4 linked regions of the Drosophila melanogaster genome follow. The protein of the gene in region 1 purifies or fractionates together with the protein of each later gene. This does not show direct contact. Each region holds a gene or a part of one and is shown in the gene's direction. Other genes may lie near its edges. The genes, in order: sty, CG7668, CG14767 and Tmep.

Evidence for each region.
Region 2: the proteins of sty (region 1) and CG7668 purify together in Drosophila melanogaster (affinity purification with mass spectrometry, with the first as the bait; one large-scale study listed by BioGRID). This does not show direct contact.
Region 3: the proteins of sty (region 1) and CG14767 purify together in Drosophila melanogaster (affinity purification with mass spectrometry, with the first as the bait; one large-scale study listed by BioGRID). This does not show direct contact.
Region 4: the proteins of sty (region 1) and Tmep purify together in Drosophila melanogaster (affinity purification with mass spectrometry, with the first as the bait; one large-scale study listed by BioGRID). This does not show direct contact.

What each region holds. Positions count from the first base shown.
Region 1 is NT_037436.4:3,421,897-3,426,544, reverse strand, and holds the start of sty (sprouty), read left to right. Parts: upstream 1-1,609; 5' UTR 1,610-2,120; intron 2,121-4,648. UniProt on the Drosophila melanogaster protein: Inhibitor of tracheal branching that restricts branch budding by antagonizing the BNL-FGF pathway (BNL: branchless, an fgf inducer of branching).
Region 2 is NT_037436.4:20,001,122-20,005,373, forward strand, and holds CG7668 (uncharacterized protein), read left to right. Parts: upstream 1-1,614; 5' UTR 1,615-1,796; coding exon 1,797-1,871; intron 1,872-2,181; coding exon 2,182-3,242; intron 3,243-3,295; coding exon 3,296-3,428; 3' UTR 3,429-3,713; downstream 3,714-4,252. Other genes in the region: Tom20 (translocase of outer membrane 20), read left to right, coding at 46-175, 240-315, 729-1,038.
Region 3 is NT_033778.4:8,717,834-8,725,795, reverse strand, and holds CG14767 (uncharacterized protein), read left to right. Parts: upstream 1-1,956; 5' UTR 1,957-2,090; intron 2,091-2,298; exon of another isoform or gene 2,299-2,343; 5' UTR 2,344-2,365; coding exon 2,366-2,539; intron 2,540-4,171; exon of another isoform or gene 4,172-4,287; coding exon of another isoform or gene 4,288-5,643; exon of another isoform or gene 5,644-5,696; intron 5,697-5,763; coding exon 5,764-5,953; intron 5,954-6,011; coding exon 6,012-6,150; intron 6,151-6,306; coding exon 6,307-7,102; 3' UTR 7,103-7,779; downstream 7,780-7,962. Other genes in the region: CG30357 (uncharacterized protein), read left to right, coding at 4,288-5,643.
Region 4 is NT_037436.4:1,567,617-1,575,183, forward strand, and holds the start of Tmep (transmembrane endosomal protein), read left to right. Parts: upstream 1-1,564; 5' UTR 1,565-1,925; intron 1,926-4,284; exon of another isoform or gene 4,285-4,369; 5' UTR 4,370-4,370; coding exon 4,371-4,622; intron 4,623-4,675; coding exon 4,676-4,841; intron 4,842-4,907; coding exon 4,908-5,166; intron 5,167-5,352; coding exon 5,353-5,692; intron 5,693-5,929; coding exon 5,930-6,004; intron 6,005-6,063; coding exon 6,064-6,148; intron 6,149-6,377; coding exon of another isoform or gene 6,378-6,412; exon of another isoform or gene 6,413-7,116; intron 7,117-7,371; coding exon 7,372-7,567.

The sequences.
Region 1 (4,648 bases):
GCTGTGAGTGTGATTTTTATTTTTATTCTTTTGGCTGTCTGAAATTGCCCTCGAGTTCATGTTTAGACATTCACCTCGAGGCCAATGTGTTACCTCTGCCACTGCGGCGATTATCTAGGACACTTGTGACGTCAGGCGGGAAAACTGTTGGACTGGGGTGGCGTATTCATTGCGGATTGAATGCACGAAAAGCCATCAGAGCCAAACACCCAGACATCAACTTGGCCAACTTTCATACGGATTTCTCATTGAGCATTTTCGTTCAATGAAATTTCATTTATTTTTATTCTGTCCGTTCGCATTCACACTCATTTATTCGAATTTGTTTGCCCAAAAATGTTTCGGCCAATATACATACGTATATATAATTGAATGGCAGACCACTTTTTGTTGTCGAGTTTGATCTGATCGAATGATTCACATTTCGGTTGGCATTTCAATTTAGGGTCCAAACAATGGCAGATGTCCAGTTGTCCAACTCCGCAGCAAAGCAAATGAAATTCTTTCGGGGATACCCTTATCTTAAAAGGTTATTTTGTTTCTTTATGTTCTTGGGAAGTATTTAAAATATATTATTATTTAATGCTATTCAAAAAGTATCTTACTCAACTTACTCATCCTAAAATAACATTTTCCTAGCGCTCAAGAAAGTAATCCACATTCGTTTTTGAATCCAATTTAGCTCACTCAGCTTTCTTGTTAGACTTTAGCTTTTTATTGTTCTTTATTCTGATGTTCCTTATACATATACAATATATACGTATACAAATATATATGTAGAGTTATTGTGATGCGTACCGCCCATATGTGGAGCTCGGCGAAGTGGCTGCTTTCCGCCAAATTTGGTGCCGCATTCGACCGGATGTCGTTGGAAATAATATTGAAATCTTTATTATTTTCACTGATTAATTTATGGGGCAGTAAACGAAATGAGCTTTGAGTGTGCTGTTCGATTTTAATTTGGGAGCGGTGCACAGGGTGCTGGCTAATTTTCAAATAAGCCCGCCTTAAGGAGGCAGGGCAACCCTGGCCGAACAGCTGATGGACAACGGATGACCTTGGGGGTAATTGCAACAACCCCCAAGTGGAAATTCACTGCCATGGCCAATGTCGAGGCGACGCCTACCGAAGGTCGTTGCCAAGGCAACTGAGTGGGCCAGAGCCCAGCTCATTGGGCCAGGAAATGCAGGCGTGTGTGAGTGGGCGCCCATTGAAAGTGGCGATGCATTCAAAATGGCCGTCAAACGGACGACCTTGAAAGCCGAGTGCTCATTGGCCGGGCCACCGAGGCCAGGATGTTGGGTGGCGGGTGGCTGGTGGGTTGGTAGGCAATTGGAGGGGGCTGGATGGCCATGCAAATGGAGGGAACTGGGAGCCAGGAGCTGGGAACAGGAGCAACCAGCAGCCAGGAGCCAGGATTAGTCCTGCAGCAATAGCCGAAATCGGAAAACAATACGAATGTCGCACGAAGCCCACGCAATGTCGTTTCGTGTTTCGGATTTTGGGACCTTCGGCCCAACGAATGGGTATTCCCCTCCAGGACGAGATCCTATCGGCAATCTTCGGGTGAGGCTGCAGCTCCGATGCAAAAGTCGTGCAACATTGGCTCAGTCACTGGACGATAGTCAGGCTGCATTCAACGTGCAATCTCCGAGAACTTGTGCTTGCAAAATTATTTACCAAATATATATACCCGATATATATACAGTTGTATGTTCAAAGACACAACGCAATTAGCGATTAATAGATGCGCACACGGCGTATGCGTAATTTAAGTGAATCCAAGTAAAAGTGCGCGTGTTTTTAAATAATTAACAATTTTAAATAGTAAACTATCCCATTGAAAAAAAAAACATAATCATACATAGCGTAAGCCTCTTTAACTTTATTACAAATTAATCGTGCTATTAATCAATTAACCAAGGCATCTCGTTGAGTACAGTTGCCACCAGAAAAACAAAACAACTCAATCAACCCCAAAAACCAGAACGAACAAAGGCGAGCTGTACCGAGCCAAAAAAAATCTCTAATCAAATTATCCGCATTATCTGCAATCGAGTCGACCAAGCCGAGGAAAACTTTCAACCAGAACCCATCCATCAAGCAACTTCCCTTCACCGGTGAGTAGCTTCATTGTCCCTTGTCCATCTCTATCAATATATGAACCTTCGCAGTCGAAGAACACTTAAATGTCTCAAGTCATTCATATTGTCAATTGGAACTTTGGATCTTGACTTTTTGTTCTTCTCTTGAGAGCTAAAAGTCACCCAAAGGTTAAGTGACCAGTGCTCATCAGTTGGAAAGGCATTAAAAGTCATTTATATGCCAGTGATTTTTATGCAAGAGATCTTATCGAAGATTTGTCAAGGATATTATAAATGTATTATAAAATGTTCATCCATTTGAATCTTAAATATCTGAGTAAATACGCGGTTGTATAGTTTGTAGAAATTGGGAATTAAATTTCTGGAAAAGTTGAAAAGTCTATCCTAGCCAATATTTTAAAAAAACAAGATCAACTCGATAAAAATAAATTCGTGACATTGTTTCTTTTAGTCAAACAATGATGAACAATTTCCCTACAATATCTTTGAGCTTTGAGTAATGGAATAACATTTAATCGATAGTATGATAGGTCTTAATTTTATAAATTTGTCATCTGTACCCTTTTTCCCTACCTAAAAATCAAATCTTATGCCTGAGCCTTAGAGCTTAGGCATTCTGGAATGCCATAAATCATTTTCACTGCCCCAAATGGGGGGAAAGGCGGAATCGGCGAGGATGAGTGGGGCGAAGTGGCTGGAAGAAGGCTCTTAAGTTAATTTAGTACTTTGTTCGCTGTGCCAGATCATTAAAATTATTTGGCGACTTTGAAAAATTCGAAACAGTAGCCCACAAATACCGACAGCTGAACGAATCTCGAAATGAAATTGGTTTGGCTGATGAGGATGGAGATCGTGTTTTCGTTCGCCGGCTACCCGCTGCGTTTGTCTGCAGATGTCTCATAAACATGAAGACCAACCAGTCCCTACCCTCCGAATATATATCTTTTTTCGAAATTTGTATAATCTGTATGCGAATCATAATGACGCGAAATCAAGATCGGACTGAAGGCTGAAAGCTGAGACACACTTTGGCCTTTTATGCCAGCTCACATGGAGGCTGAGGCTCAGCAAGAATTTTAAAAACTTAACCCATTTTGCAAACATAATGTAGTTTTACATTTGAATATATAAATGGGGATATTATGTATAATTAAATTCTGATATAAATGTAGGCAATAATCATTGTTTAAATCATAGCAAAGAATTGCAAATTGGAAAGTCCTTTAATGATTAAAGAAGTCATAAGAAGTACATTTAAATGCAAGGTCTTGGTCTGTTTCTATATGACTTTGGGTAAAACCAAAGCATCTGGGAGTTTTCCTAAAACCCCTAGGATACCCAGAGGGTTAAGGTTTCGCTGAATCTGTACCGTTCAATTAGCTCTGTCTTTGGGACTGGCGTTGACCAAGACTAATGCGCACATTTCATGCTGATCGTCGCAGGAATTCCAATTCCCTGCGAGTGAGTTCTCCTGGGTTTCTTATTTTAATTTTTTTTTTTTTTTTTGGCTCTGGGTTGGGCTGGCCCTGTCGGAGGAGACCTTTTCTTTGGGTCGGTCGCGTAACATAATTGCGTGAATAACTGCGTTAATTTCCCAAAAGACTTGACAGCGGATGTGGCTACTGGTCTGCGCCGTTGACTCCTCCAGCCTCCCAAATCCTCAGTCCTTCACCTTCTGCTTTGCATTGGCATTCCACGGACTATGCCATCGATATCGATCCGATTCGAACCGATCCTCTGGGCCCTGTGCCTCTCGCATTTTTGGACCCGGGTGTGCCAATGTTTTTTTTTTATCTTATTTATATTAAGTTTTTTTTTTGCCATAAATGGCTTCCGCCGGAGTGTCCAGTTTTTGGCTCACGCTGCATACGCATATACATGTGGAGCTCCATTTAAGGTGGTTCCGGGGGCTGGGGCTCCTCCAATATAATTATGAATAGGCAGGCCATGTGGGCATGGGCAACTCCCCCGCCTTCGTGGCCCCAACTACTCAAATCCAAAATATGAGCTATGCGTTCCAATTTCAGTTGTGGGCTTTTCTCGGATCTTAACTCGGCCCCTCTTTTCTTTCGCATTTTGCACCGGTAGAAATAATAGATTTAGTAGAATTATTGCTTGATTAGAAAAAATATTAATTAATTATCTATTTATAATATAGTTTCTAATTACACACTGCACCAATCCAATTGTTTTTTGTAGACACAAAAAATATTTTTTCACATTATATTTATGTGTTTCACAATTTTTTGAACCTTAGGTTAATATTTTATATTTTCTAAACAAAATACAAAGTATTTTCATGTTAATTTGGTAAAAGTATTTTTCTTAATGCCTTTATACCATTTTTTCACTTTATCGATCGCAACGGAAGCGAGTTGGCGTTGCCATCGTCATTTTGCGTTTGTCACAAATTTGTTTAGCTAAAATATTGATAGAGAGAAGACATAAAAAATAAACACAATTTTTTAGATAGTTTTTCATGTGGGGGTTCCGACGGAATTCGGAATTCGGTTTCGAGCCTACTTTGACGAATTTGGAAGTAA
Region 2 (4,252 bases), about 17 Mb from region 1:
AATGTAAAATAAGACCAAGTTAATACAGAGGATTTCCGTAGTAATATGATTGAAATGAACAAAACTGCAATCGGCATTGCAGCGGGAGTAGCTGGAACTCTGTTTATTGGATACTGCATCTACTTCGACAAGAAGCGCCGCAGCGATCCCGAGTACAAGAAGAAAGTCCGTGAGCGTAAGAATCCCCATTGCGCCCCAACTGAATTATGAAAGAAACTCATCATTTCATCACTTCCTAGGTCGCCGTCGCAACAAGAAAACCGGCACTGCCAAGTCTGGAGTTCCCAATCTGAACGACCATGAAGCCATCGAAAGGTAGGACACTCCCATGGGAGTCGCATTATATAATGTGGCACGTGTAGTGGTGCCTGGCGATTCAATACACCTCCATTCAAACAAACAAGCCCACATATGTTTCTCCAGCCAAATCGATGTACATATTTTATGTGGAGTCCCATTACACTTGCGTGTTCATCGTGTTGCTGCTTATTGCCTCAGGCATCTAAAGACTCCACTGCCTTGGATTAACAAGCACATTTCAGTGTTTGGATTCTCAGCAGGCTTCCTGCCAAGAAATTCATAATTTGAATATACAAATAGTTATTATTGTTGCAACTGTGCACAATTTATATTATTTATATGCACCTAATTTGCCTGGCATTAATTTAATTCGTAATAGTGTGCATCGAATCAGCTGTTCCAAACTAATTAAACCATGATATTTGCAGATATTTCCTTCAAGAAATCCAGCTGGGCGAGACCCTGATCGCCCGCGGAGATTTCGAGAGTGGCGTGGAGCACTTGGCGAATGCCATCGTCGTGTGTGGCCAGCCGGCTCGTCTGCTGCAGGTGCTGCAATCCTCCCTTCCAGCTCAAGTATTCGCGATGCTGATCGTCAAGATGCAGGAGTTCGGCAATCGAGCGGCCGAGGGCAACGACGGGCCAATCGTTTTGGGGCAGAGCTCGGAGCAACAACTGGACGGAGCCAAAATTATAGAGTGTTCATCTGGAAACGCAAGTATCGACGACCTCGAATAGTACTTGGAGATGGCTACAGAAATTGAGATATAAATTTCAACAGTAGAAATTAAGGGCTTCACATATAAACATTATATTTTTTTTATATATTGATTTCTCTGGATGTTCCCAATACATACAAATAAATATGCGTAAACTGTTAACACTTAACAATTGAGCTTTGTTTTGTGCGTGGTATTTACGTTAGGCGAATATCAAAGATCAACTCTGCAGACCTAAATGTTTTGCAATATGTATGTATAACAGGGTATGTGTTAAAGTGTGTGAAAGTTTATCAACAATAAAAGATTATTAACATGTTGAATATCTTGGGAATAAATACATATATCTCCTAACCGGTTTGATAATAAAGGTATTCCAAAGTTTCTTTGGTATTTAAATATAAGTGATTATTTATAGGAAAAGCGTACTACTGCCATCTAGGCAGCTTAATCAAATGAGAAATGGTTCTTATACACTTATTTAAAGCAATAGTTTGAAAATGCAAAAGTTCCTTTTCAAAGATGATACCCAGTAATTAAATTTACGGAATACCCCCTATGCCATGTTCTAGCCGGACTGCGTAACTCCCTCAGTCCATATCTGGTAACACTTAGAGCTAAACAGCTACGTGCAATTCATCGGATTTTTTTGTATTTTGAGTTGTTACAAATATAGGCACTTGCTTTACATCTTTAAATTTATTGCACGGATTATTGCAAATTCCGTTTGGAGTGCTTTTAGGTACGATAAAACGTGGTGCTGATAAATTAATCCCCATGAAGCCGGAGGACCAGAACAACTTTTCTCAGAATTCGCGATCCTCTCCAGATTCCAGCACTGAGAACAATTCGGTGAGCAATAAGATTTTTCTCGATTCTCGTTACTTACATAGATAGAGAAGAACGTGTGAGAAATTTGAAAATTCTTTTGGTGTATTGATATAAATTCACAAGTAAAATAAAAATCAAAGACACTAAAATAATAATGTCTAATGTCTTTATTATTCTAATGTCTTTGATAAAAACTTTTCGCTTTATATGTACTTCCCCAAATTCCGATTCTAGTGTCTTTGAATAGACTCAGTCAGATCCGATAGTGATCGTAATCATGAATTCATGCACATAGTTCTCAGCGAATATTGTATACTCTTTCGTTTTTCAGAGCAGCAGTGATTCGGAAATGGAATTTGTGGGCACAAGTGCACGGGGAATGCTGAAACATAAGAAAAAAGATGAGAGGAAAATATCGGAACTCACCCGAAAGTTGGCGGAGGCTGAAATAAATCTGAAGGCCCAACAGGAGAAGGGCAGTATACTTGAAAACTGCATCAAGGATAAGGATGATTTTATTAAGACCCTGCAATTGTCGATTGACTTAGTAACGCAAACAAAAGAAATGACCATACAGAAGTTACAAACTCAAATTATGGACTTGCAAAGTGATCTCGACTTGAGTAGGATTACAATTAAGAAGAACGATGGAGGAAATTGTGCTCCAGCGCATGATAAAGTTGTGAAAGAACGAAAGGAGTTAAATATGGAAAATGGAAAATTTCGAGAGGGGAATGATCAGATTGTTGAAATCGAGAAAATTTTGAACTCAAAAGAGGCGGAAATCGCCAGACTAGAATTCAAAATTGACGAGTCGAAGCTAAAAATTGTGCAATTGGAAGGTGCAGTAAAGGCGAAGGACGAAAAGATAGTGAAAATGACAGAGATATTGTCTGAGTATAACGTTAATAATAAGGACCACGATGAATTCGTATTACTGGGCTCTTCCAAGTTGCCTTCAATTAAATTGGTGACACTACCTGATTTCGAACCCTTTGCCTCAGTTTTCGAGGATATTCCTTCTGCCGGTCGTGGTTGGATGATAATCCAGCGTAGAATCGATGGCAGTTTCGATAACGCCACTGAATCAAATATAATAACGGGCTGTGGGGATTTGGGTGGCGAGTTCTGGCTTGGCCTACAAAAATTGCATAAAATGACGACACATCGACGAATGGAACTATATATCCAGCTCGTCGATTTCGACAATGCTAGTGCTTATGCAAGATATGATAATTTTGTTATTGGCGATGAAAAACAGAAATACAAACTGCTTTCCCTTGGCGAATACTCAGGAAATGCTGGCGACGCATTTCGCAGTCATATAAACCATATTATTGTTGGAAATCCGTTTGCAATGGAATCATCGAAATGGTGGGGTACAATGAACTGGTATGTATGAACTTGTTTTTGTTTAATGATTTTGAAAAATAATTCTTTTTCAGTAACTTGAACGGAAAATATCGGAATTCCAAAGTTGAGTTGGACACGACCGATGGCATTTGGTGGGGTAATTGGAATGTTGGTAATAGATATCCCCTGAAGTCGTGCAAAATGCTAATCAGACCAATGCCGTGAGCCAAGTATAATGGCTTGTCAAATAACATTGTCACGGAAATAAAAGTTGTAAAATAATTTCTACCTGTTCATTTTCAGCCTAATTATTGTAGAATGTTAAGTTTTAGTGTCGACCAAAGAGTGGATAACAGGCTTGAAGGTCCTATAAATGCTGTATGCTGTATTTGCAAGTAAAATCTAGCTTCGCTTGGTATTTTTTTTATCGTAATAATACCGACTTTGTTATTTTACGGTCGAGGGAAATTTACATGAAAATCCCACCAGATGGCGCGTTTGATAAAATCGATTTTATCGCAGGAATGCCGTATTAAATTGCCCAAGTTTCTATAAAATATAAATATATTTTGATAAATAGTAATAATAATACATAATAGAAAAAAAAAAAATAAAACATAAAAATCTGCAGAAGGCAACAAATTGCATCTAACAGTGAAGTGGAGCATTTTCCTAGCCTCACAAAATATTTAGCAATAACAAATACATTTGTCTAAAACATGTAACAAGTCAGACATATGCATGTTCTCCGCAATAAAGCTGGGATATTTTTACCAGAGAGGGTCAAAGGACTCAATAACAGAAGGGGAAATAGGGGTGCTCCATGCTCAAGCTGGTCCGGATGAGCTCGAAGTTGCTGTTGGAGGTTGCAGCTGGAGGTTGCAAGCGCAGGACATGGCCCAACTCGTTAGGACCTCGAAACGAAAAGTCGAATCAGTTGAATTTCTGTTCTCATTGACTGCGGTTTAAGTTGCTTTAAATCGCAGTAAACGGTGTGCGTCGTCGGTAGCAATTGAATGAGAAGGGAAAGTATGTTTCAATCGAAAGTC
Region 3 (7,962 bases), on another chromosome or scaffold:
GATCTCATTGATATGGGCGACCGGACAGTCTCGGACTATGGATATCTATTCGGACGCAGACTAAGCATAAAATAATGATGATGATGATTTTGCCGTGGTGGAGAAAGGTTTGTTTTGGTGTGGCGCAGTTCCGAAAACAAGAGTAGTGTTCCAAACCGGTTCCCAAAGCGTGTATTTCTTATAAGACCAAAACAAGACGATTGCAGCGCTTTAAATTACGTCACCACTTGAAGCCAGAGAGCAGAGAGAATTGAAGATTGAGAGGGAAACAAACAAAAGGGGGATGACCAAGACCACCAAACAAAGCCGGACCTCCAAGTATAACCCGAGTTTCCAAAAGTCGTAGTTTAGAAATTAAAGGAAGGTTTAGGGTAAACATACATGTTATTATAGTCAACTATTTTTAATTTTTTTGAAACATTTGCAGTGCCTGAAGCTTTTGTTTCGATGGTGGTAAGATAAAGTGCATTTCCAAACGATTTTAAAACATGTTTAAAATAAACTTAATAACAAGTTTTCACGCTTGACAGATTTTATCTACTGCACCTTGGGGGATAAGGTTTGCTTTCGAAATGTATCATCCGGAAGTTTAAGTTTATAAAAACGTAAGCATATGATCTTCTCTTTGAAGACCCACTCCAAACATTTTTAAAGGAGGATTGTTCCACTTTTGAGATAAACTAAACACATGTAAGATACTCTTTTTTTTACACATGTAAGTTAGGGAAATGACAAAAAAAATTAATGTAGCCCAAGGAGTTAACGGCTAAATAACGTGGGTGATCGTCGGAAGAAGCCAACAAGCATGGGCGGAGACTCGAACTCGAACTCGCGCACTGATTTCGTAGGGAATTCCAGTTGCCTTAGACGACTGAGCCACCGCGGCTGGAAAATTTGGGACGTCCGAAATCGGAGAAAGGTGTTTGAAGCAGGTTAATATATGTGGTTAACCTACAGATAAGGCTACAAGCAGCACTCTTTTATTTATGGATGCAAAATCAGCTGATTGACAGCTTAAAACGCTTATTTACGATGGCCTGTTGTTTGGCCCTGATAACACGCGATTAGCGATATGGAAAACGGACCACCAGACCATCAACTTTTTCTCACTTTATATCCCCATGTTCCTGGCTGCGAAGTGCAGTTAATCCGCAGCTATAAATAGCAAACAAAAGTGAATTCGGTGGGTGACGTAGTTGGGAATAACAGAGAAGGGGTGGGATGGATACGTACTAAAGAGATAGAGAGAGAGCGACAGAGAGCGCGCTAACGAACGACGCAAAACTGAAGGAAACAAGGTACACAAAGGGGAACTGATAAACGAAACTTACTGTAAAACTGCAGTTACAGTGCCGTACTTTTATATAACAGCAATTGCACCCCACGTTCACTGGCTTCGTTTCAATAAATAAAATAAACACGGGCTAAAATTCTACGCGAGTCTGATTAGGCATGCGGTTTAAGCCATTTCAATTCCGTTCGCTGTCAATTTTATCTCTGTTTTGCTGCAGTTGGCTCTCCAAATCTTTTAGTTATGGTCACCCTACGATAGCAAAGCATGTATTTTGATTGCATCGCTGCTATCGATGTTTGCGGATTGGCGCTTTAGCGTTCGCACCGGTCACACTTACCGTACTTTTTAAAATTAATATTTACTTTACGATGCGGAAGCACAAACCTATCTTGAGTTGCTCCTTTCGAAGTAAATTTTAAAAATAATATTAACTTCAATAATAGTAATAAAAACATATCAATTTACATTTGGGGACACAAAATACATAAACTATGAATATTTAGAAATAAATGAGCTTACATCTCTTCGTTTTGTTGTTTATTTATATGACATCTAATTCAAAAATTATTGTATAATATCATGATATTTGCGAATAATGACTCGTATAAACGTTACCGTTCTGCAAAACGCATAATGTCAGTGTGACCGTGTTGCGCGGCATTTTACCACTTTCAGAGATTAGTGCTCACGGGTTTTCGTGCTGCGCAGCAGTTAAATAAAATTGAATACATCAAGAGCTGCAGATATAAATCGGAGTTGAAAACCAGTGCAAGTTGCATTGGCCCACAAATCAAAGGTACGCCTTATAAAGGAGAGTGAATCAATTGCCGAATTAGTAGTGCAAAAGGTCAAAGCATCAGTCGTGAAAAAGTGGCACACATAAATACAAATGCATACATACATACTCGTAGATGCAACACACACCTACACCTAAACACACATACACACACAAACACACATCCGTGGGAGGAATAAAACACCCACAATTGCTGATTATTTTCTGCACTCGTTATCGTTATCGCTTTCGTTTTCGCATTCATTTTCCACAGCCGCAGTTTCGTGGGGCGTGCAATGTTTAGGATCCACCTCAAGATGGGTCCCCAACGCAACCAGCTCCACAGCAACAACAACAATGGTGCCGCCGGAAGTAGCAGCAGCACCGGAAACCGTCACCTGAAGGAGTTCACCTGCTGCTTCGGCCTGCATGTCCACACGGCCACTTTGATGATCGGATTGTGGCACCTGGTAAGTGCATCAAGGGGGGTATCCTTTAATCCATACATGCGTGTGTGTATATCGAGATACACCCACGCATGCAGTCCTGCGGCATTTGCGAAAAACCTTTGACCCTGCTCAGTGTCACGCAAGGGAAAAATCAATCAGCCAATGACTGCAAAACTTTGCGAAGACGAAGACGAGCCAACTCTGCACTTTCCCCGCCTGTGACGTCAATTGGTGGCTGATTGGCCGCTGCTGCGTCATCTGATCAAATTTAACTACAGTATAATTCGCTTAGCTGCCTCGAGTACTTTGCACAATGCCTCGATGCAGGTAACTTAAAAATGCAGCTAACTTAATTTTTTTTTTTCTATTTTCTATTTTCTATTCACACAAAAAAATGGAAAAATAATGCAGATATCTTGCCGATGCAGCTAACTATCGATGCAGCTAAGCGAATTATACTGTACTATCATCGGGGCTTTTTGGCACAACAACTTATTTCTGCCATCGGTTCCACTGCGGAAGTTTCCACATCCCATGTCCATTGTCCGAAACTAACCTTTCACAAGATCTGACTTCGCATTAGCAATCGCTACACTTGGAGAAATGTAAAGCATTGTCGAATTTTCAAAAGTTTCATAAGAAATTAGTTTTATTGGCTAAAAAAAGGGATATAAATGTGCAAAGTGCAGTATTTTCAGTCTTGTTATCAATGTTTTTGGAAACCCAGAAACCTTTGATGTCTCTTCTGAAAATGAAAGAGAATGCTCTGCCCTTAAGAGAGCGCGAATCTGCGGCCAATAAAAGATTTGAGTCGTTGAGCAAAAACCCTTGCTTAATAGTATTTGTCTCACTACGCTATTCGTGTATATTTTACACTGTTCCGCTACTTTCTTTATGCTTTGATCAGGTCACGTTTTCCAGTAGAAAACTCCGTCACATGGGTTGATTATGGTGTGGACAGCAGTGGAGTTATCTTTTCTAATCTGTCCAATCTCAAGGGTTTCTTTGTTTACATTTTGTAGATATGTATGGCGTTAGAGGCTTTAAAAACAAAGCAATTCCGCAAATCGAAGGTTGCTTGTTGTTTGGTTGACTCATCCCCAGAGTGACAATTGTTGATATACTGCGGCGCACTGCAGATTAAATTTCATGATGAATTTCTGATGAATAATTTAACTAAAGATGGCAAGTTGCCGCATCTCGGGTCGTTGCAAGGCCTTCAACCTGAGATACTTAGATACTGAATCGGATATCCAACGGCAGCCATCTGAGCAAACAGCAACCAGAAACATGAGCGTTCAAGTTATTTTTAATAACTACACGTACTCGACAAGTGATGCGAAAATATTTACTCTTGTGGTGGCTTACTCTTGCTTTTCGGTAAGAAAGATATATTCTTCTGGAACAACATTCTGAAGCGTGCTGTCATAAATCTGAGAATTGTTAATTCAGCTGTCATCTATCAGCACACAGGCTGCAAATCAAATCAGGCGAAGCTTTCTTATCTTCTTTTTTGCCAGCTTATCTTCATGAGCGGACCCATGCACCTGCTAACGCACTCGAAATACTTTTAAATGTTGAGCTATCATTAAAGTCCCCCCTCGTGATCCTTGGGAATCTTTGCTTAGTTTGTGACGTTTACAACTTATTCACATTTTTATAAATATTGTTCTGCTCACACAAAAGTCTACATTCCCCACTACTTCCAATGAAATTCCATCCGGAGGAAGCTGTCCAACTGGTGAAGGCATTTGCGAGATTCGAATGCAATGCCCCACACAGACGACACATTTCCGGAAGGCAGTTCTTGTTGTCCTATTGACATTGTTTCCTCAAATAAAGTCATCCTGCGCGGCTATGCTTCTAAGGCGAATAAGGATGTCGAAGCGGTGGAGGAGCTAGAAGAGATACAGGAGATGAATGATGAGCTAAGGGATTTGTTCATCAATACAACTGCCATCAATTGCTCGTCCCTTTCTGAACTAAAAATCCAGACTGACGCTTTCAACACCCTTAAAGAGCGTACACTATTCTCATTGGGATACTCGACAGCCGGGCTTTTAAAGAAATCAAAAATCAGTAAGGTTCTAAAAGGGAAGGTCAATTTGTACCAACAGATTGTGAGCCTTGTAAAGCAACGTACAAAGACCAATTCAGAGATCACCATAGGAAAGACAAGTCATCCCGTGCACCTGATGGTCTTACAGAGCTTTTCGCGAATGTTTCGCGATATGGGCAATGACCTGAGCGTGGCCCTGCCCGAAAAGATGATTACGCCACGCTCCTTTGGCCTAATCTACGAATGGATGATCGAGGACACGCCAGTCTTGCCGCGACTCGGTCTCCTAGAGGTTTTCCACGCTGCCAAATTTATGGAGATTCCACAGTTGGTCAGGCAGTGCAAGTATTGCCTCGATCATGGATTCACTGAGGACTCCGCTGCGATGCTGTACTTTGAGGCGAAAATACTGAAACTTGAGGTTATCCATTTGCAATATCTTGAGCGCGTCTCAAAGTTTTTTCTCACGCTGGTGGCATCGAAAGAGTTTTTGAGACTGCCGCTGAAATCAATGCTATTGCTCATCCAATCGGATCTGATAGGCGTGAATACGGAGCTGGAGGTCTTCATGGCAGCCGCTCGGTGGCTAAGCCACCACTGGCCTCAAAGAGAGGAAAACGTAACGGATGTTGTATCCAGCATACGTTTTGGACTAATCCCGCCGTGGTTGCTCATCCGTTTACAGAAACCGGATGTCACATCTGTGGGGGTGGGGAGAATCGTAGCGCAGCCAATTGTGCGCCAAGCCATTCATGAAGGCATCGCGTACACGACCACGCGGATGTTTTATGGAAAAGATCGGGAGGCTTTTAAGCACTATTTGCATAAGGCTTGCGTAAAGCCACCCGTGCAACGCACTTGGATATACGACCGGAAATGTCCGTATCATCATCGAATGCAATGCAGGAACACGGTGGACTTAACCTACGACGCGTTCCTTGAATATCTTAATTACACGCAACGCCAGCACCGGGATTATTGGAAATCTCTGGAACCAGTAGATGCTAGCAATGTTTGCTTCAGTTGCCAGGCAAAGAAGTCTGATTTAACTAAGCCCAACAGTTGAGTCTCCACGTTGGTTGTAGAACTTGTAAAATATATATTTCTACTTATATATGTAAGCCTCCATGTGCAATTAAACAGTTTAATTATTTTAGTAAGTAAAACCGCCTACGTTTATTTTCAGTTCTTGAACATATTGGCGCTAAGCGTTCTAGCGGTCATATGGCGCAATCCGGAGATGATGGACGAACTGGAAGGTGGCACCCACGACTACACCGTGGATCTGAGTGCACCGGCCCTACCCACGCCCCTTAGCAAGGTCGAACCGCCCTACGCCTACCGTGACCACTCCCTCAACTATCGTAAGCGTTACCGTAAGCAGTGGAGAGAGCAAGTTCCGCAACGCATTTAAATATCAATTTTCTGCTGCAGAGAACTTCGATATGGGCGGACTGGTGTGCACCTGCATGATAGCCATTACACTGATGATGATCTACGGAACCATCAAGGGAAAACCCTCCCACCTGTTGCCGTTCTTCTGTTTGCAATTGTTTGATTTCGCTATTACAACGTAAGGATTATAATCGGTGGAGTTACAGAGACCTCAAAAGATTTAAATCGCCACTTTACTTTAGTAAAGCTTAAATAGCCTTCTTAAATCCTTCGAGGTTTCTAGGACTCTTTTAATAGGGAGATTAATGTACTTATGCATTGTTCGTTATCATAGTCTCACCGCCGCTGGATATCTGTGCTACCTGCAGGCCATTCACAGCATCATTGCCGAGTCGCATCGCTTGCCGTGGCGCGAGAAGCTGCTAGAACTACCACCTGAGGAGCTAGTTGTTGTTGTCCTGGTCGTATTCATCTGCATTGTGTTTCTAAAGGCCTATTGCATTGGTATCGTTTGGCGCTGCTACAAGTACTTGACGCTCCGTCAGCAACACGTTCGCACCCTGTTCCCCTTCCTGGAGCCACCGACTGGAGTCCACAGTGTTGGCGGAACCTTTGGTGCCGAAGAGCGGTCTTACTCCACTCTGTTGCCCAATTACGATGAAGCGATTGCCCAGTACTTGAAGCAGGCACCACCGCCATCTTATCAGGTGGCCATGTCAAACTACGAAGAGGGTGAAGACGCAGCTGTTGGAGGTGCGGAGGTTAATCCTTCGGTGGCCCCTCTCTTCGTGGCCCTTGGAGCAGCCACTACCGCGAACGTAGCCTCCAACACGGATGACAACATGGATAATAACAATGATCAGCCGAACAATAACAACACTATGCATGTCAATGCCAATACGCCACCAATGCGCCGCAGCGATGCAGCTGTAAACGCTAATGTCGACGAGGAAGCGGACGATTTGGAGGTTATTGACGCTGGCGTTGATGTAATCGGTGGCATTCCGCCTCCTCCGCCCTACAACGACGTTGCCGATGCCCAGGTGCAAGTGCCATCGCAATCGCCGCTGCATCGCCAGCCAAACATCCCGGGACAAGTATTCGGCGGACGCGACGAAAGCCAGGCTTAAACAGTACTTTCGACTGGATTGCTTCTCATGGCGAGTGGGTTGTGATCAGCGGTGACCACCCCTCTCCCATCCTCTTCTTGCCCAGATGATCTGGTTTCTGGTCCCTCATTTCGCAGCTATCATTCCCAGGCACACATACACCTTCTTAATGGTTGCTTCAATGTATTGAACACTGTTTTTAGAAAAACGAAACGCAAACAAGTTTTCGCTATTAGCCATCGCTCATTATTGTTGTTTAACGTACAACTAAGACGCTCTAGTTGCTGCTAATTTAGTAAACAAAAGCATTAAAGCCAAAAACATATTGTGATGCTGGCGAGGAAAGCATCAATTCCTTTTCGGCCGCATCTGACCCGATTTTAGCTGCAACAATCTGTTAGAACGTTTTTCATTTGGCCCGAACTAGCCTGAGAAGTTCGGATATTGTAGGCCCAAGTAGTTGTTACCAGAGAGTGTCGCTGGCATTGTAGACACCTTTACGATGTTCTTTGTTTTAAGTTATCTCGTAAGACTATGCATATTGAATACCGTGTACTGAATTCAGAGCACAGGCAGTCATAATCCATTAATTATGATGATATTACCAGCAACAGTAAAGTTTTATGTGTGTACAATATCTAAATGTATACTGTGTACTAAATATGCAAAGATATTCGAATAAAAATTAGTTTATATTTAATTTGTGTTTGCGACTTCATTTTAATTTAAAGAACATTATAATATAATTTCCAATTTCAGCTGATACCCTAATTCTATTTGGAAATTGGTTTCATTTTCAATAGAGTTGGAATGTTGACTTTTTAGTTTATAGTGTTAATCCTTTAACAGAGTTGATGATATTTATTTTAATTGGGGAAAGA
Region 4 (7,567 bases), 1.9 Mb from region 1:
ATTGTGGCTGCATTTATCCATATATCATTTATAATTATAGAAATATATTTTAAAAATTGTTTGATAGCCTTAAAGTTATGTACCAATATGAAATAGTGGTATGTTTTCCGATCAAACAGCTATTAAGACTATTTAATGGTAAGCGCTATAAAACCCAATTGATATGTTGCCTTGGCAATGCTAAACAAATCCGTTGTTTTATTTTCTGCATTTTATTAGCATGCTTGTTAATAAGAGATCTTTCAGTTCCTGAGTGATCCTAGCTAAGCAAGACTTTGTATCGGACTACCTATGTTTCGGTTTAAAGCCAATTCAGGTATGTTCGCTAATACAGGTATTTACTACGACCAAGAGCAATATATATATTTCTACCCCCGAATGTGTGACAGGCGGTACACAATTTATTCGCGGAAATGTATTTACATAATGCCTTTCATCTTGAAATCGAATCTGGAACGGGGCTGCTAGTAGAACCGAGACTGTACCCTAAGCATAAAATATGAATTGCACACCGAAACGAAACAGAGCGCAAAGAGGAATCTGCGAGTCGTTAAGCACCAATCAATACTGATCAACATACTTTTGGGTAATGGTTTTAACCGATTTTCACTGTTTCCAGCAGTTTCTTGGTTTTTCTTCTCGCTCCCGTGCAGTGTTGTTGTTGCTGCTTCGAAGTCGTTGATGTTGAAGCATCTCCACGGGAAGAAGCAGAAGCGAAACGAACGAAGAGGAGAAGCGGAGGGGGCGAGGTGTCGCTGTTTTAAGTACGAGTACTGAATTTATTCAATGAACTTTACTCACCATGAAAACCATTCAAAACTCCACTTATTCTGGACCACCAATGCACAAAAACAGTTGGGTTTGTTTTGGCTCAATTGCTATATATTTATTTTGATTATTCCTGCTGATGATCGGCCTGAAAAATTTATATTTTCCTGGCAACACAAAAAGTGAAATGCTGTTTTGTAATTCCTACGCTTGCGAGGGTTTGGTGACAGAAAACAACATGGCTGACACGAAAAGTGTGACCTGTAGTCGTGCAGCAGAAAAAAATCACTCCGAAGACCACGGGCACCCTGTGAGCAAAATATGAAGGGGTTTCTGAAATGCGATTTGGTTAATTGTTAAAAACAATTCTAATTCGTTAGTCACTATATGACGTTTATTTAAAACAATAAAGTAACCAAACAATTACATTTATTAACCTTTTAAATTTTAATATAATCTATGGTATATGTTGATCTTGCAAGATTGTGCTGGAGTATTGAACAATTGAACATTAACGAGTCTTAAATGTGCAAGTGCTACAAAATATTTTTCCCTGTTAATTTAATTGTTACTGCTAACTTAAGTTTGTTACCATATTAGTTGGAATTGCTTATGTTATTTTATCCGAAGTCAAGCGGAGCGCAAGTGATAAGATGCGCCTGTGCGCGTGATGCACAGTGTGAACACTTGTGGTATTTAATTAGCAAACGAAAAGAAAATAACTACGCAGCACTCCCACGCAAATACTGTAAAACATATGTTTCGGTATTTTTTATGTATTGGCACGCAGATTTTAGCGCTTAGTGTAGTTAGGTCACACACCAACACGATTCGTGCGTAGTTTTCATTTATTTTGCTCCGCTTTCCTTCGCTGTTTTCACACCCACGATCCGCGAAAAAAACATCCAGGAATCGTGTTCAAACATTGGCAAACATATTGCGTACCGCCGCGGCCATAAGTCAACCGCTGTAGGCCATTCTTTTAGCCCCAAACAAGAGCGACGACGTCAGTGGGCGACGCGACTGGCGTCAGGTGAAAAAAAGAAAGAAAAACGTATTGAGATTTGAAAATCTATATAAAACGGGTGCAGCGAAATTAAACGGAATTTGCAACTGTGAAAACGCTCTAAAGCGTGGAGAGTTGCATTTGAAAAAAGGTAATTAGCGTACCAATTAAAAAAGGAATTGTTCAGTTTGTGCGTGCAGGTTTTCTGCATGTGTGTGTGTTTGTGTAAAAGTTGTTTTCCCTGAAATGGCAGGTTGTGGATTACCCGATTCGATGACGAAATTATTGAGCTCGTTTTCTGTGTTTTCGTTGTTGTCAATGTACTTTTGCATTGATAAGCAAGGTGTTAGTGTACTTGTGTGTGTTTGTGTGTGCGTGAGTGGAAGAGCAATGAAGATAAGCTCGAGTCTTCTTCTTTCCCCACTCTCCAAAAGGTCGTTTCGCATATGGTTTATTGACGCTGCATATGTTTTTGTTTTTGCCTGAAATTCAATTTACCCACTGAAGCCCCACAGCAAGGCTTCCGACCTCCAACACACCCTGCTCCATAATTACCAACTTACCGCGCCTCCTTTTCCCTCACAATCATCGCAATATGGCTTTTACTCGTCTCTTGCCACCTTTGGAGACTCTTCTTCGCTTGGAGACTTTTGCTTGGCCAATTTCTGTGTATCTCCGCCAGCAGCAACTTGTTGTTGCTTCTTCTTTGTGCAGCTGATTGTGTTTCGCTTAGCCTTCTCTCACTCTTCTTCTGCCTCTTCTTTTGGCCATTTACTTCTGGCTTTCGGTGTCGCCGAGATTCGTAAGCAAATTTCAAGCGTTTAACATTTAACGCTTTGCGTTTTGCTCACAAATTCGAGTTCAACAATGCGAGTATTATTAACTTTTGCACGAGTTCGTGACTCATTCGTTATCATTAACGTGATTTTTATTCCCCTAATGGGAAACTCTTGTCAGCACAACTGGAATACTCACAATATACCATAAGTATTCAAAACATCCAAAGAGTTTTTATATTTGAATACCATTTCTGGAGATAAAATGACTCTATAATCACAAAATATCCCATTTGTTAAAACTAAATCATAAAAAAAGGTGTTTATTACACCTTTTTTTTGTTAAGTTTATTAAGTTTTTAGTGTTTCCCAACCCTTTAGTGGTGAGTCAGTGTTTCGAGCTATCTTGTACTTGATGTTATTAAAAATGATTGGTAAAGGCACTCCTCAAAAAAAGAGTTTTTTTTTTAAATGGTGTTGAATAAATAATATCGGAATTTACCATGGGCGATACCCTTTTTTCCCACTGTTCAGCAAGGAACTTTGACATTTCATTTTACTTCCTGTTCGTCATTTCCGATATTTTCAATTCTATTTCACTTCGATTTGTAGGTTTTGCCTTTTTGGAATATTAGAGTAAGTGGATTCCACGCAAGATTTTAACATTATTCTGTATTTCCCCCCTGTTTCCTCGAATGCTTATCGCATTTCTTGGCCCCCATAATCCTCTTGAACTGCCATATGTTTCCGTTCCACCAGAACTTTCAGTTTATTTGTATCCATTGCACTTTCGGTTATTTTTGTACGCACAATAGCATCGCTGCTCAAAAAGCTCCCCATTCGAGATTATTTAAAAAAAAAAACTTCACTCAAATGGACTCAAGATCTATCAAATATGTAATTCATTCTGCTTGCTTTGCACTCGCCTATTGATTGGTTGGCATTCCCAGGCGGGTGAAATCGATATGGAGCAGTTTGAAGTGACCCTGAGACAAGGTGGAAGGTGGGTGTGGAGGTGGCCATAACTTTCCTTGGCTGCGCCAGAGTCCATTATTAATATTGGATTGCGTGATGATCTAATGCGCGCGCCTCTGTCCCTCTGCTCCCAAAATCCCAACCCAATCCCGTTCACCACCCGCCGCCCGCCGCCAACTCTTTTGTTTGTTTTTGTTTTTGTTCCTGCTGCCGCTCCACATTCCCCACTTTGCTTCTTGCTGACCCAAATCCGTCCAAACATTGTTGCAGTGCTGTCACAAATTTTGGGGCAACATGGAAAAGATTCATAGAACACATATGAACTTATCAAGATAAGAACATTTTCATAATAAACCTTAAAAATCCATATTCCAGGGCAATAAAAACACACAGATATTAATGCACATACATAATGGATGTTTATTTAAAATCATAATTATTCAATGACTATTATTCAACATCTTGCACATGACTGGATTCACAATTTCTGACCAAGCGTGTTGTTTAAACCTTTATATAAGTGCGAATAATTCGAAAGCATATGAAAATACAAAGAAATAATTCACTAATGAATTTAGATTATGAGTTAGGAGCTTGAATAAATCAGGTGTAACTATAATATAGCTAAGAGCGCAGCACAGCAGTGCTGAAATGGGGTTTCGTGTCTCTGAGTAAGAATGTCATTTTCGGAGCAATGTTCGTGTGAAAGTCGAGACGAGAACGTAAACATTTTGCCTGCCTAGCTGTCTGTGCTGAGCACTTCAACTGGCCGCACAATAGCTCCTGAACCTAGCCCAGTTACACCCACGCTAATCGGTCTTCCTCGTTCTGGATTCCATTGCAGCATGAGCACAACCGCCGCCAGTCTCATCGAGGCGGCTCTAAATGCCAGTAGTGGAAACGCCACGGCTACAACTGCGGGATCGCTTGAGGCTACAGGGAAGCCCAACTACGTGGTGCAGGTAAAGAACACTCCGATGAGCACGCCGCTGGACCCGCTGCTCCACGTGGGCGATGGCATCTTCCTGCAGACAAAGACCGCCCAGGTTCTAGCTGGGGTGTGCGTCTGGGCCGCCCTCTTCATCACATGTCAACAGGTGAGTTAAGGCGTCATTGGTCTGAGTTGTGTACTAATGGATATCTTTGGCAGATCTACCAGCACCTGCGCTGGTACACGAATCCACAGGAGCAGCGCTGGATCGTGCGCATTTTGTTCATTGTGCCCATCTATGCCACATACTCCTGGATCAGTCTGCTTTTCTTCAACTCGGATAACGTTTACATCTACTTCTTTACGGTGCGCGACTGCTACGAAGGTTCGGCTGATTTGATTTTGAATGATTTTTGCCCATCGACTAATTGCTAACCCCATTTCCATCCAGCCTTTGTCATCTACAACTTCTTGTCGCTGTGCTATGAGTACCTGGGTGGCGAGGGCAATATTATGTCGGAGATTCGCGGCAAGCCCATCAAGACATCGTGCCTGTATGGCACCTGCTGTCTGAAGGGCAAGACCTACACGATTGGCTTCCTGCGCTTCTGCAAGCAGGCCACTCTGCAGTTCTGCCTGGTCAAGCCGCTGGTGGCCTTCATTATCATCTTTCTGCAGGCATTTGGCCACTACCACGATGGCGATTGGAGGTAATGTGGTTTATCTTTAATGACCCGCGTTATTGCATCTGAAATGGTGGCATAAAAACAACGAGCGTGCGCAATAAATTACCAACTGTAAACCAGTAAATCTGCCATTAAGTAACACTTTGCAAAAGAGAGAACTTATAGGTACATATCATTCCCACTAATAATATCTCCTTATCTAAATTGCAGTGCTGATGGCGGTTACATTTACATCACGATTATCTACAACATCTCCGTGTCGCTGGCGTTGTATGGCCTCTATCTGTTCTACTTCGCCACGCGTGATCTGCTGACTCCGTTCGAGCCCGTGCTAAAGTTCTGTACCATTAAGTCCGTCATCTTCTTGTCCTTCTGGCAGGGCGTGGGTCTGGCCATCCTGGAGAAGGCCAATGTTATCTCGCCCATTGTAGACAGTGCAGGCACTGTTACCGTGGAACCCGGTACCGTCTCCGCCGGATACCAGAACTTCTTCATCTGCATCGAAATGCTGTTCGCCGCCATCGCGCTGCGCTATGCATTCCCCTATCAGGTGAGTTTTGGAATGTCGGAGTGGGCTAGATTTTACGCAGCTATTTACGATTTTTGGTGATTAGATAGTGCTGACTTGAGTGCTTTTTTTCGGTTATTTCGGTGTTTATTAAGCGGCTTTCCTTACACTTGTTAGATATGTGAAAGGTATTCGTGTAATGCTGACTTGGCTAGAAGAAATCAGCTAAAACGAAGTGCTTGCAGTAAAAATAACTTAAATGTTGTATGCTCTTTGTAGGTCTACGCACGCAGCTGCATCAGCGATGGCCACGGACGGTCTGTCACCATGCAGTCCATTTCCAGCAGTCTTAAGGTAAGCTGGAATATTTCCCTGGGAATTCCCGTATCTAAAACTCCCGCAATCCTTCGCAGGAAACAATGAATCCCAAGGATATTATGACAGATGCTATACACAACTTCCATCCGCAGTACCAGCAGTACACGCAGTACAGCTCAGGTTGGTTTTTACTCGCTTTCTCGTCTTTTTAGCCCAACTTCTTCTCTTTGTGCTCTGTGTCTGTGGCATGTTCGTTCTTTTCATCGAGCCTGCTTAACTTATCTTATCTCTTGTGTTCGTCGCTCTCATTTAATGCATTTCGATGCGAATTTCCATTACCATTTCCATTCCATTATCGTTATGTTTTTCACACTTTTGTTTTTCTTTCTTGTTTTCTTATCTTTTGCAGAAGTAACCTCGGCTCAGCGTTACGAAAAGCTCTAAATCAATATCAAAAGCAAAACTCTAGCGATGCTCGCTACTAAACACTAATTGCAATCACAATTCCACATTTCCGAGCGGGACGCGATCCGAAAGCGAAGCAAACAAGTGTACTTATAGCCCTAGCGCCTTAGCCCTAGCTTAATGCCCCACAGTATCCCCCGAAACCAAGCTCAGAGAGGAAGATACGTACTAGGCCTAGTTACTTACTTACTCACTCCACAAAACGCTGAAAGCTGAACAGAAATTAACTTAGCCAGTCCATTGAGTTCAGGGCTTTTAGAGTTGCCTCTGCGTCTGTGTTTCTGTATTTCCTACGTTTACACTCTACACCTAAACTTAAGCGTTTTTTAAAACAACTTATTTAGACGTTAGCTATGTACGAAACGAACTATAATATTGTACAATATTATGTATTTGTAAACAAAGATTTTATTATACTGTATGCAACAATGGCAGTCGCTGAACAGGATTCCCCATTCAAGCGATCTTCAAGCTAGTTTCCCCTCAGCATTTATTTACGTGTTTCCGTTTCGCTCAAAGATACCAAAAACGAAGTTTTTCCTTCTTTTATTTTGATTTCCCCTTTTGACCACCCTTTTGTGATAAGCTCTCGTCGTCCTTCTATTTACTTCTGTTTGTAAATGTTTAAACCAATTGTATAAAATATCTAAAATACTTAGCAATAAATGTACGATAAGCTTGACAACTGTTTGCCTCGCCTCGTTTTCTTCGTTGCATGTTTATTGGCCTCTTTCCAACTATATATATCATATATCCGTGCCTCGATTAAGATTTTTATCGTAGAATTAACTAATAACTAAAATCTTCAGTAACATACTTAATCGAGGAATGGTTGTGACAAGCATGGCATGATCTAATGTTTCTTGTTAATAAGTTAGACCCTCGATCTGTGTGACCCGTAACGATTAAGTCCATTCCCTCCAATGAAACCCGCACAGGTGGCAAGAATTCCCGCGGCATTCGCGTCTCCAGCTACGATCCCGACGATCCCAGCTCGGGAGCAGCAGCTGGAGGCATGCAGGCGTCGCAGCCCACCAGCGGTGGATACGATGCGGTGGCCACTGGACCAGGATCTGGCGGCAACGGCGGCAGCAACTGCATGGCCTCAAAGACGCTGGGCAACCAGAGGAAGTT